2 linked regions of the Caenorhabditis elegans genome follow. The protein of the gene in region 1 interacts with the protein of each later gene in a pairwise test. Each region holds a gene or a part of one and is shown in the gene's direction. Other genes may lie near its edges.

Region 1 (3,929 bases):
CTGCATGTCGTCAATCACCAAGTGAGAAGAAGCACTATTTCGAGTTACTCTTTGCGTTTTACGTCGCTAGAAAAGACTTTAGAAAAGGTAATTCTCCAAGTTTTAAATAAAGCGCACTTAATTTATTTACAGGAGCTTGTGCAATGTACGAATATGCACGTCACATCGAGTCAACAACGTGCATGACCCCCGAACTTCTCCGCAGAAAACGTGACTGCCTTGCTGTCGTGCTCAACCTGCAATCAGTTCTTGGAATGGAGCCAGACGGTTTTTAATGTTCTGAAAATTATTCTCAAATTTGTTTTTCAGACGATCGAGCTATCTACGATGACGCTACTGACACGAATTTAGTATTTCCTGAACCTTCAGATGACGAGGATGAGCTGATCACCGAATCTGATTCGTCTGGTGAAAATGGCAAATTGCCGAGCGGAAACAAAGATAGTGGAAGTGGTACTGGCAACAATTCTTCACCTGATAATTCGAATGGAACCAGCTCGTCAGGAACAGGTGTAGATTTGGTAGCACTGAAGGCAAGGCAAATGGCATATGCACTTGGATCGGATGACATGGATACTGATGATACAGAAGATGATATGAAGGGAGGAAGTATTCCATTGTTCAAACGTAGAAAGTTGCTGGTTCTCAGTGAAAAAGAGTACGTCTTTAGAGTTTGTTCATAGAGTTCATTGTTTTCTTTCAGTATTCGTGATGAATTGGTCTTATGTTCCGCACGAGTTGGTCTTCTTTCTTCTGATCAATTCAAGGGAGTTCCACCGACTGATCTTAACGAATTATTTTCATTGCTTGTTGATAATCAACATTTTGATGAAGCATTCGACATTGCAAGGTGATTTTTATAAAAGATAGAGGATGATAAAACATAAATATATTCAGGCAATTCAATCTGGATTCCCACAGGCTATTCTTTACCATGACACGTGAAGCAATAATGATTGATGCTCTTCGGGATGACCTCAACATCGAAATGGCAGCAACTCATCAAGCCGGATGGGTTCGTCTTAACCGCAGGCACTGTGCTGCCGTCGCTACCGCTGAAGAACATTGGTCGGTGGTTCGTGGGTTGGTTGATGCGGCTCAAGCAGAATGGCCTGGAGATTCTAGACCACTTCGAGGATCCACTGAAGCGTTTCTTAGTTTTAAGCTGAATGTTCCTGTCTGGTTGCACAGTGTTTTTGAGGTTTGTTAGCTGAATAGAGAATAGCTTTAAAATATTTTTCAATTATTTCAGAATAATGACGCTAACGATTACCTTAGATGTCTCGTGGATTATGAAAGTTATTCAATTGCTCTTCAAGTTCTCAGTGATATTGTCGAACAAGAAACTCTACAAGCTTCCCAGTCAAATGCAAGAACCTGGCTTCCATACGGAATCATTGATGAATTGATGATCAGGAGTGCCGATTATATCCGGAAAATGAGTCTAAAATCTCCAGAAGACCAAGTAGTAGCTGCAGAAGTTGCAAATTTGAGAAAAAGTGCTGATCAGAAAATGTTGATCTATTTCCGAAAAGTGGCTGACTTCGAGCAAGCTCAAAAAATGAGCAGTAGATTCTTTGATAAATAATTTATATTTTCTATCCCATTGTATTTCTTAAAATTGATTCCTCTCCACTTTTCATCTCACATTTTCAACAGGTGTTTTTTCAATTAAGGATTATCTTTTGTGTTATATTCATTTTCGCTGATTGTTATTACTGTTTTATTCTCATTCTCATATTATCCGGTTACGACGAGATGAATGAAATTTTCAATGAAAATTATTATTTCCGAGAGAAAAAAGGATAATCCGTTACCGCATACTTTGCCGCTTAAAACCGTTATAGACAAAATATAAAATTTAGATGGAGACATTCATATTGTCGTCTGATTCTGATGATGATTCTGGACCACCACCATCAAAAAGAAGAACAATTGAAGGAATTCCTAGGAGCTTTAGTGGAGATAAGAAAATTAGGTTTTTTTAATTGAATAAAAATTTGGAATTAAATATTTTTTGTAGGTTCTCATTCGGTGCCTCCAATATGTCGCAGGACACAACTCAAGAAATAATTCCAGAAGATACAGACACAGTTCCCCTCACAATTCCATCTACACCTGCTCTGTCCGGCAAATTTGACTCGAAAACTCCAAAATCCGTTCGTCGTCGATCAGTATCGATGAGCTGTTTCACACCGATTGTTGAAACAATCAATCAACCTCCAACAAATCAAGCGTGCTCCAGTTTTCTTCAAAAGGAATATAATTTTCATGATTTGAGTAGTGACGAAGAAGGAGGTGACGGAGGAGCAGGTTGTTCCAAGGATGAAGACAAAATAATTGAGGATAATCTGAATTTGCGAGCACTTCTCAGTCCTGAAAAGAAGAAACGCAAGGAAAAGGTGATTTTCGTGAAAAATTGAACTTTTTTCGAAAGCGTCAAGCGTATTGAATTGATGTTGAAAAAGACCGATCTTGGTGTGTTTTCAGAAATTTTTAAAAGTTTTTTGAAATGGAATATTTTCGATGGTTCGGTTTTGCTTAAAAATTACTTAAACTTAAAATAAAAAAATTGCCCCAATGCGAAATTCAGAGATTTTTGCTTTAAAAATACAGTACCCGGTCTTGACACGACCGATTTAAGAAATGTGCGCCTTTAAGGAGTACTGTAAAGAGTACTTTTCGCAGTTGATTAAACTACAGTACTTCTTTTCAGATAAACTGTTCAGCCAGCTCCAAACCAGATTTTGTATTTTTCGATTTTTCGACGCAAACCAAATTTATATAGATTTAAACAAATTCTGTTCAAGTTTTAATTAATCTAGGCAAATGTGTAAATACATCATCTTGTTTCGAATTTGTTTGGTTGAATGTTCTCCACAATAGGTGTTGTTTCTTACTGAATGGTTGTAAAAAATAAGAAAGAGCGATATGCATTGCCTGTTGCCCTCTATATTCTGTCTTTTGGGAATGTATTTGAATAATCTCTTTGTTTTTAAAGGTTGTTTACAATCATATTAATAGAACATGTGAAGATGTAGATGTACTCGATGGTTGTAAAACCTGGCAGACAGAATTGGTTCCATCATCTACACTCTGACTTTTGGGAAGATACAAAATCGTTCAATATATTATTCGTTTTTGACAAATGAAGACAACTGTTTTGAAATTAGTCGGTTATATTATAAACGTTTTAGTTAAAAGTGCACAATTTTTGAACTGAACGACAATTGGTCTGTTCGAGTTTGGGTATTGTATAAAAATCGCAAAATTTATCATCTAGGTTAAAAACCGAAAAATCGAATTTTTCCCAGAAGAATAATATTTTTTAAATTTTGTATTTAAAACCATTGTCCGAAAAGCCGAAAAAAAAACAAATAAAATAAAAGAAAAAAAACCCCCCAAAGTTTAATATTTCAATTTACCACCCGTTTTTATAATAAAATAAAATAATTACCGTAATGCGAACGTTTGTACATTTACGAAGAGCGTTTACTCCTCGCGGAAAATAGTTTTACAGTTTTGGACCATTTTCGCCAATTCTTATCGATTTATCTTAATTAAAACACTATAAAAATTATAAAGTAATCCAAAACCAAGTATTGAAGACTTCTCCGCAAGGATTATACAAGCTGCGTAAATCGACACATGGCCGTGTAAAAAGTGTTCTTCCCCAAGTATTTCAAATAAATATATTTCAAAAACCCCCAATTTGAGATCGAGGAAGTTCAAAATGAGTTTTACGGAGTTTATTGTCTCATCAGTCGTAGCGACCGTCCGTGTTACAAAAATCGATGTTACATAGGCTATACGGTAGATCCGAATCGACGAATTATGCAGCACAATGGTGGAAGAGATAAGGGTGGTGCAAAGAAAACGGATAGTCGAGGACCGTGGTATGTTTGAAAAGTAGATCCTTTCGAAAAATA
Region 2 (3,929 bases), on another chromosome or scaffold:
ATAAAGATCTTCGGCAACCATTCCAAGAACCTACCGGAGAGCTTTTGTATGATCTTTTGGCTCGTTCAGGAAAAGAAATTAGAGTATGTTACTTGTAATAATTCTGTCGATTTTATTTTTATTTTTGCAGGAAGGAGCTAAAGTGTTGGGAACAGTTCAATCTGTGCAGTACCGTAAAGTTGACAAAGATGCAGCAGACAGCATGTTACCTGATGTTGGAGAAGATGGTCTTTTCACTTGTCCATGTTGTAAATCGTTCACATCTTCGGCTCCTGGTGGAATTCAAGAACATATGCTCGGTGACGTAAGTTTTTCTCAACTAATACTATTCGTTAACCAATGTTAAATTATTTCAGTCTCGTCAAGGTGGATGTCCTGGAACACCAGTCGGAATTCGAGTCAGATTTGACAATGGAATGACTGGATTCTGTCCGAACAAGAACATCTCATCAAGTCACGTAGACAATCCATTAACCCGAGTCAAGATAAATCAGCCATATTACTTCAAAGTTCTCAAGTTGGACAAGGAGAGATTCTCACTATTCCTAAGTTGTAAGAGTTCGGATCTGAAAGAAGATGATTTATCTCAACGTGATCAGTACTGGGATGAGCATCAATACCAAGCTGATTTGGAACTGATGAAGAGTGAATCGAAAAAGAAGACAGAAGCAAATACACGTGTGAAGCGAGTAATTGCGCATCCAAATTTCCATAATGTATCCTACGAAGCTGCTACGAAAATGTTGGATGAAATGGATTGGTCTGAGTGTATTATTCGTCCATCGGCTAATAAAGATTCTGGTCTTTCTGTGACATGGAAGATTTGTGACCGCGTCTATCACAATTTCTTTGTCAAAGAATCCGCAAAGGATCAAGTTTTCTCCATTGGTCGGCAACTCTCAGTCGGCGGAGAAGATTTCGAGGATCTTGATGAGTTGATTGCTCGATTCGTTCAACCGATGATACAGATCTCTCACGAGATAACAACTCACAAGTACTTCTTCCCAAATGGAACATGCGAAGAAACAGAAGCAGTCGAGCAATTTGTACGAGAGAAGAAACGAGAGCTGGGACGATCTCCGTACGTATTCAGTGCATCCTACAGACAGCCATGCCAATTCTGTATTTCTTATATGTTCGATAATACAGAACGGATTCGACATGAATATTTCAAAAGTGAGTTTCGAAAAGAGATACGAACAAAGTTTTCAACTATTTTTGTTTACAGTTGTCCCACATGGAGTCCGATTCCGACATCAAAACTTTGATACGCTAGATCGAATGATGGCTTGGTTCAAACGCCATTTCCACGAGCCTCCCATCGAGTTAAGGCGATCTGCGATCCCGGCTCCACAGTATCGAGTTGGTGCTCCTCCAGCAGCTCCATACTATCCTCCTCAATTCGTCGGCTATCACTGAAAACCCTGATCTTATTCTCTTTATTACCCACACCTTATCAGACACATTCAATCCTGTTTCCTTTGTTCCAGTCTATCAACGATGATCTAATTTTAATTTATAGAATACAACATCCATCTGTCTTAATCCCACATAATTTGTTTTGATTTCGGTAATCCGTTCATCCTCGATTTTTACTTTTCAAACATTTTTATATATCTATCAAAATATTTATTCAAGCAGTCATACTGTTCATGAGCTCTTTCTGTATTCAAGTACCATTTTTGTTGTTTACTCAATAAATTTCGTAATCAGAATCACTGCTAAATCATCACGAAAAAACGTAGAATGCGTTGATCACAATTGATATTGGAATAAGAATTGCAAATTCAGTTTTAGAAGAAAAAAAAGTATTCTAGATTCTACTCATATGAATGATTCATCACTAAAAAAGGCACTGTCCCAAAACTCGATCTCATCCGCGCCAAGGTAGTAAGGTTTTTGTTTCTGTCGTATCTATTTAACCTAAACGTAAATTAAAAAATATCTGTCTTTTTTTCTAGGCGTCCTCAAAAACTTGGAAGTGTGCAGAGTATTGTAAGAAATGAATCTGACAAAAGTAAGTTTCAAATCAAATTTCCCAATTAAATCAATTAATTTACTTTTTGAGATGTTCCTTCTCCTTTCGAAGAGATCACACTGAGCGACGATGATGAAGAAGCACCGGCTAAGAAACCTGTAAAATGTGCGACGTGTGCACGAGATATGACTCTTTGGATGAATTCCAGAAGGTTTGAAATATTATTTGTGTTTCTTCTCACTGTTCAAATTTTAGAGATATTCATGTAAAAGTTTGCAAAGCGAAACAATCAGAGAAGGAGAAGGAAACTACAAGAAAATCGAAAACACTCACCGAAACCATAGAAAAGTTAGTTTCAGTAGAAGGATATTCTGTGATGCAAAAACATATTTCAGAGATGATCAAGTTTATGAGAAGCCATCTTCAAAGACTCATCTATTTGAAAAACCTTTCGAAAAACCACAGGAACTTCCAAAATCATGGGAGCTATCGAAGAACAACGTGAAATTTGCACGAATCGCTGAGGATGATGAGGAAAACCGAAAACGGAAGCGTCCTCGATCGTTTGCAGTTGTGGAATTGGCACCGAAAAAGTGTCAATGTGAGGTTCTTACGACACTTCATTCAAGATTTATTGACGAGTTTCACAGTAAATCTATCAAAAATCAAAAGAAACGAGAGGAAGGAGTGACTGAGCATGCGTTTCAAATGAAGAAAATGATTGAAAAAGTAATTTTCTAGTTTATTATAATTTAAAAAAAATCACTTTTTCAGATTTCCCGATACGAACAACTCTCATCTGACATGCAAAAAGTTCTTGATGACAATTCTGAACAATTACCAACTCACATTTTCATTACCTGCAGTGATGGTCATCGTGTAAAATGTCAGACAATGATCTTGAAACATCGGACATCACTTATCAGACTGAACCCTAAATCTGAAAATATTCAAGTCGAGCACACAAAAGAAGTTGTGAAAGCATGGATTTCATTTGTATTCACTGCAAATATCGAATGGAATGATGATGATAAGGATGGTGTGAGGGATTTGGCTTCGAAGTATGGACCTGTAGGATTAGACTTGATTGTGAAAAATGATAAGGAGGAAGATCTTGAGAAAGTCGATGATGTTGAGGACGTGGTAGAGCCTGAAGCTAAGATAGATTCTGTAGTAGCTGATCCTGTAGAAATAGAGCCAACTGCGTCTCATAGCGACCCAATCGAACTTGATAAATCTGTGAACTACTTCACATCTGATGATCCTTTCTTTGGATTCGGAAAAGCTGTCGAAAATGTGGAAGATGATGCAGAACAAATCATGGAAGATAAACCACATGAATCAGTACACTCTACTCCACAGAAACCAACTACTAATGTGACAATGGATTCATTCGATGAATGGAGCAATCAACCGTCTACAAATCTTCCAACTACATCCAATGTCATTACTCCAATCCGCAACATTACCTCAAAAGCTGTCTTCGGATCCCATGTCAAAATTCTGAAGACCAATGATATAACTCCAATGCCTGCATTCGATTCAATGGAAGAAGCAGAATTAAAAGAACGAATGAAAGAGATCGGGATGCGGCCAAAAGGAAAGAAAGCGATGATTCAGATTCTGAAGAAAGCATATATCACATTACATCCAGAAATTTGCTCAGGAACACCTACAATTCGTCCGCTTGTCAGATCTGCAAGTTTAGAAAAGGTTTCGGAACAAGGAGGAAAGGGTGGAAGGAAAACAATCAAGACGAAGACATTAAGTGAAAGAATGATTGCATCGCCGAAGAAAGTTTCTCCTAAAAAGCAAGGAGTCAAGAATGCTATTTCTGGTGAGTTTATTCATTTTCAATTAAATTGAAAAATTGCTAGACATTTTATCTAGTTGCTTTAGAAGGATATTAATATTATATAATAGTTTCAGATGAAACTTCCAAAAATGTATC

Evidence for each region.
Region 2: the proteins of slx-1 (region 1) and him-18 interact in a two-hybrid assay, tested with the Caenorhabditis elegans proteins (3 studies listed by BioGRID).

Annotation. Positions count from the first base shown.
Region 1 is NC_003279.8:5,180,871-5,184,799, forward strand, and holds the start of slx-1 (Structure-specific endonuclease subunit SLX1 homolog), read left to right. Parts: upstream 1-1,865; coding exon 1,866-1,978; intron 1,979-2,023; coding exon 2,024-2,402; intron 2,403-3,717; coding exon 3,718-3,896; intron 3,897-3,929. Other genes in the region: npp-6 (NUP160 middle TPR domain-containing protein), read left to right, coding at 1-87, 133-267, 310-658, 704-850, 898-1,201, 1,253-1,588. UniProt on the Caenorhabditis elegans protein: Catalytic subunit of a heterodimeric structure-specific endonuclease that resolves DNA secondary structures generated during DNA repair and recombination.
Region 2 is NC_003281.10:4,713,077-4,717,005, reverse strand, and holds the start of him-18 (SAP domain-containing protein), read left to right. Parts: upstream 1-1,817; 5' UTR 1,818-1,828; coding exon 1,829-1,887; intron 1,888-1,961; coding exon 1,962-2,017; intron 2,018-2,068; coding exon 2,069-2,189; intron 2,190-2,233; coding exon 2,234-2,326; intron 2,327-2,373; coding exon 2,374-2,707; intron 2,708-2,752; coding exon 2,753-3,815; intron 3,816-3,907; coding exon 3,908-3,929. Other genes in the region: emb-5 (Suppressor of Ty 6 homolog), read left to right, coding at 1-83, 131-304, 357-1,176, 1,229-1,419.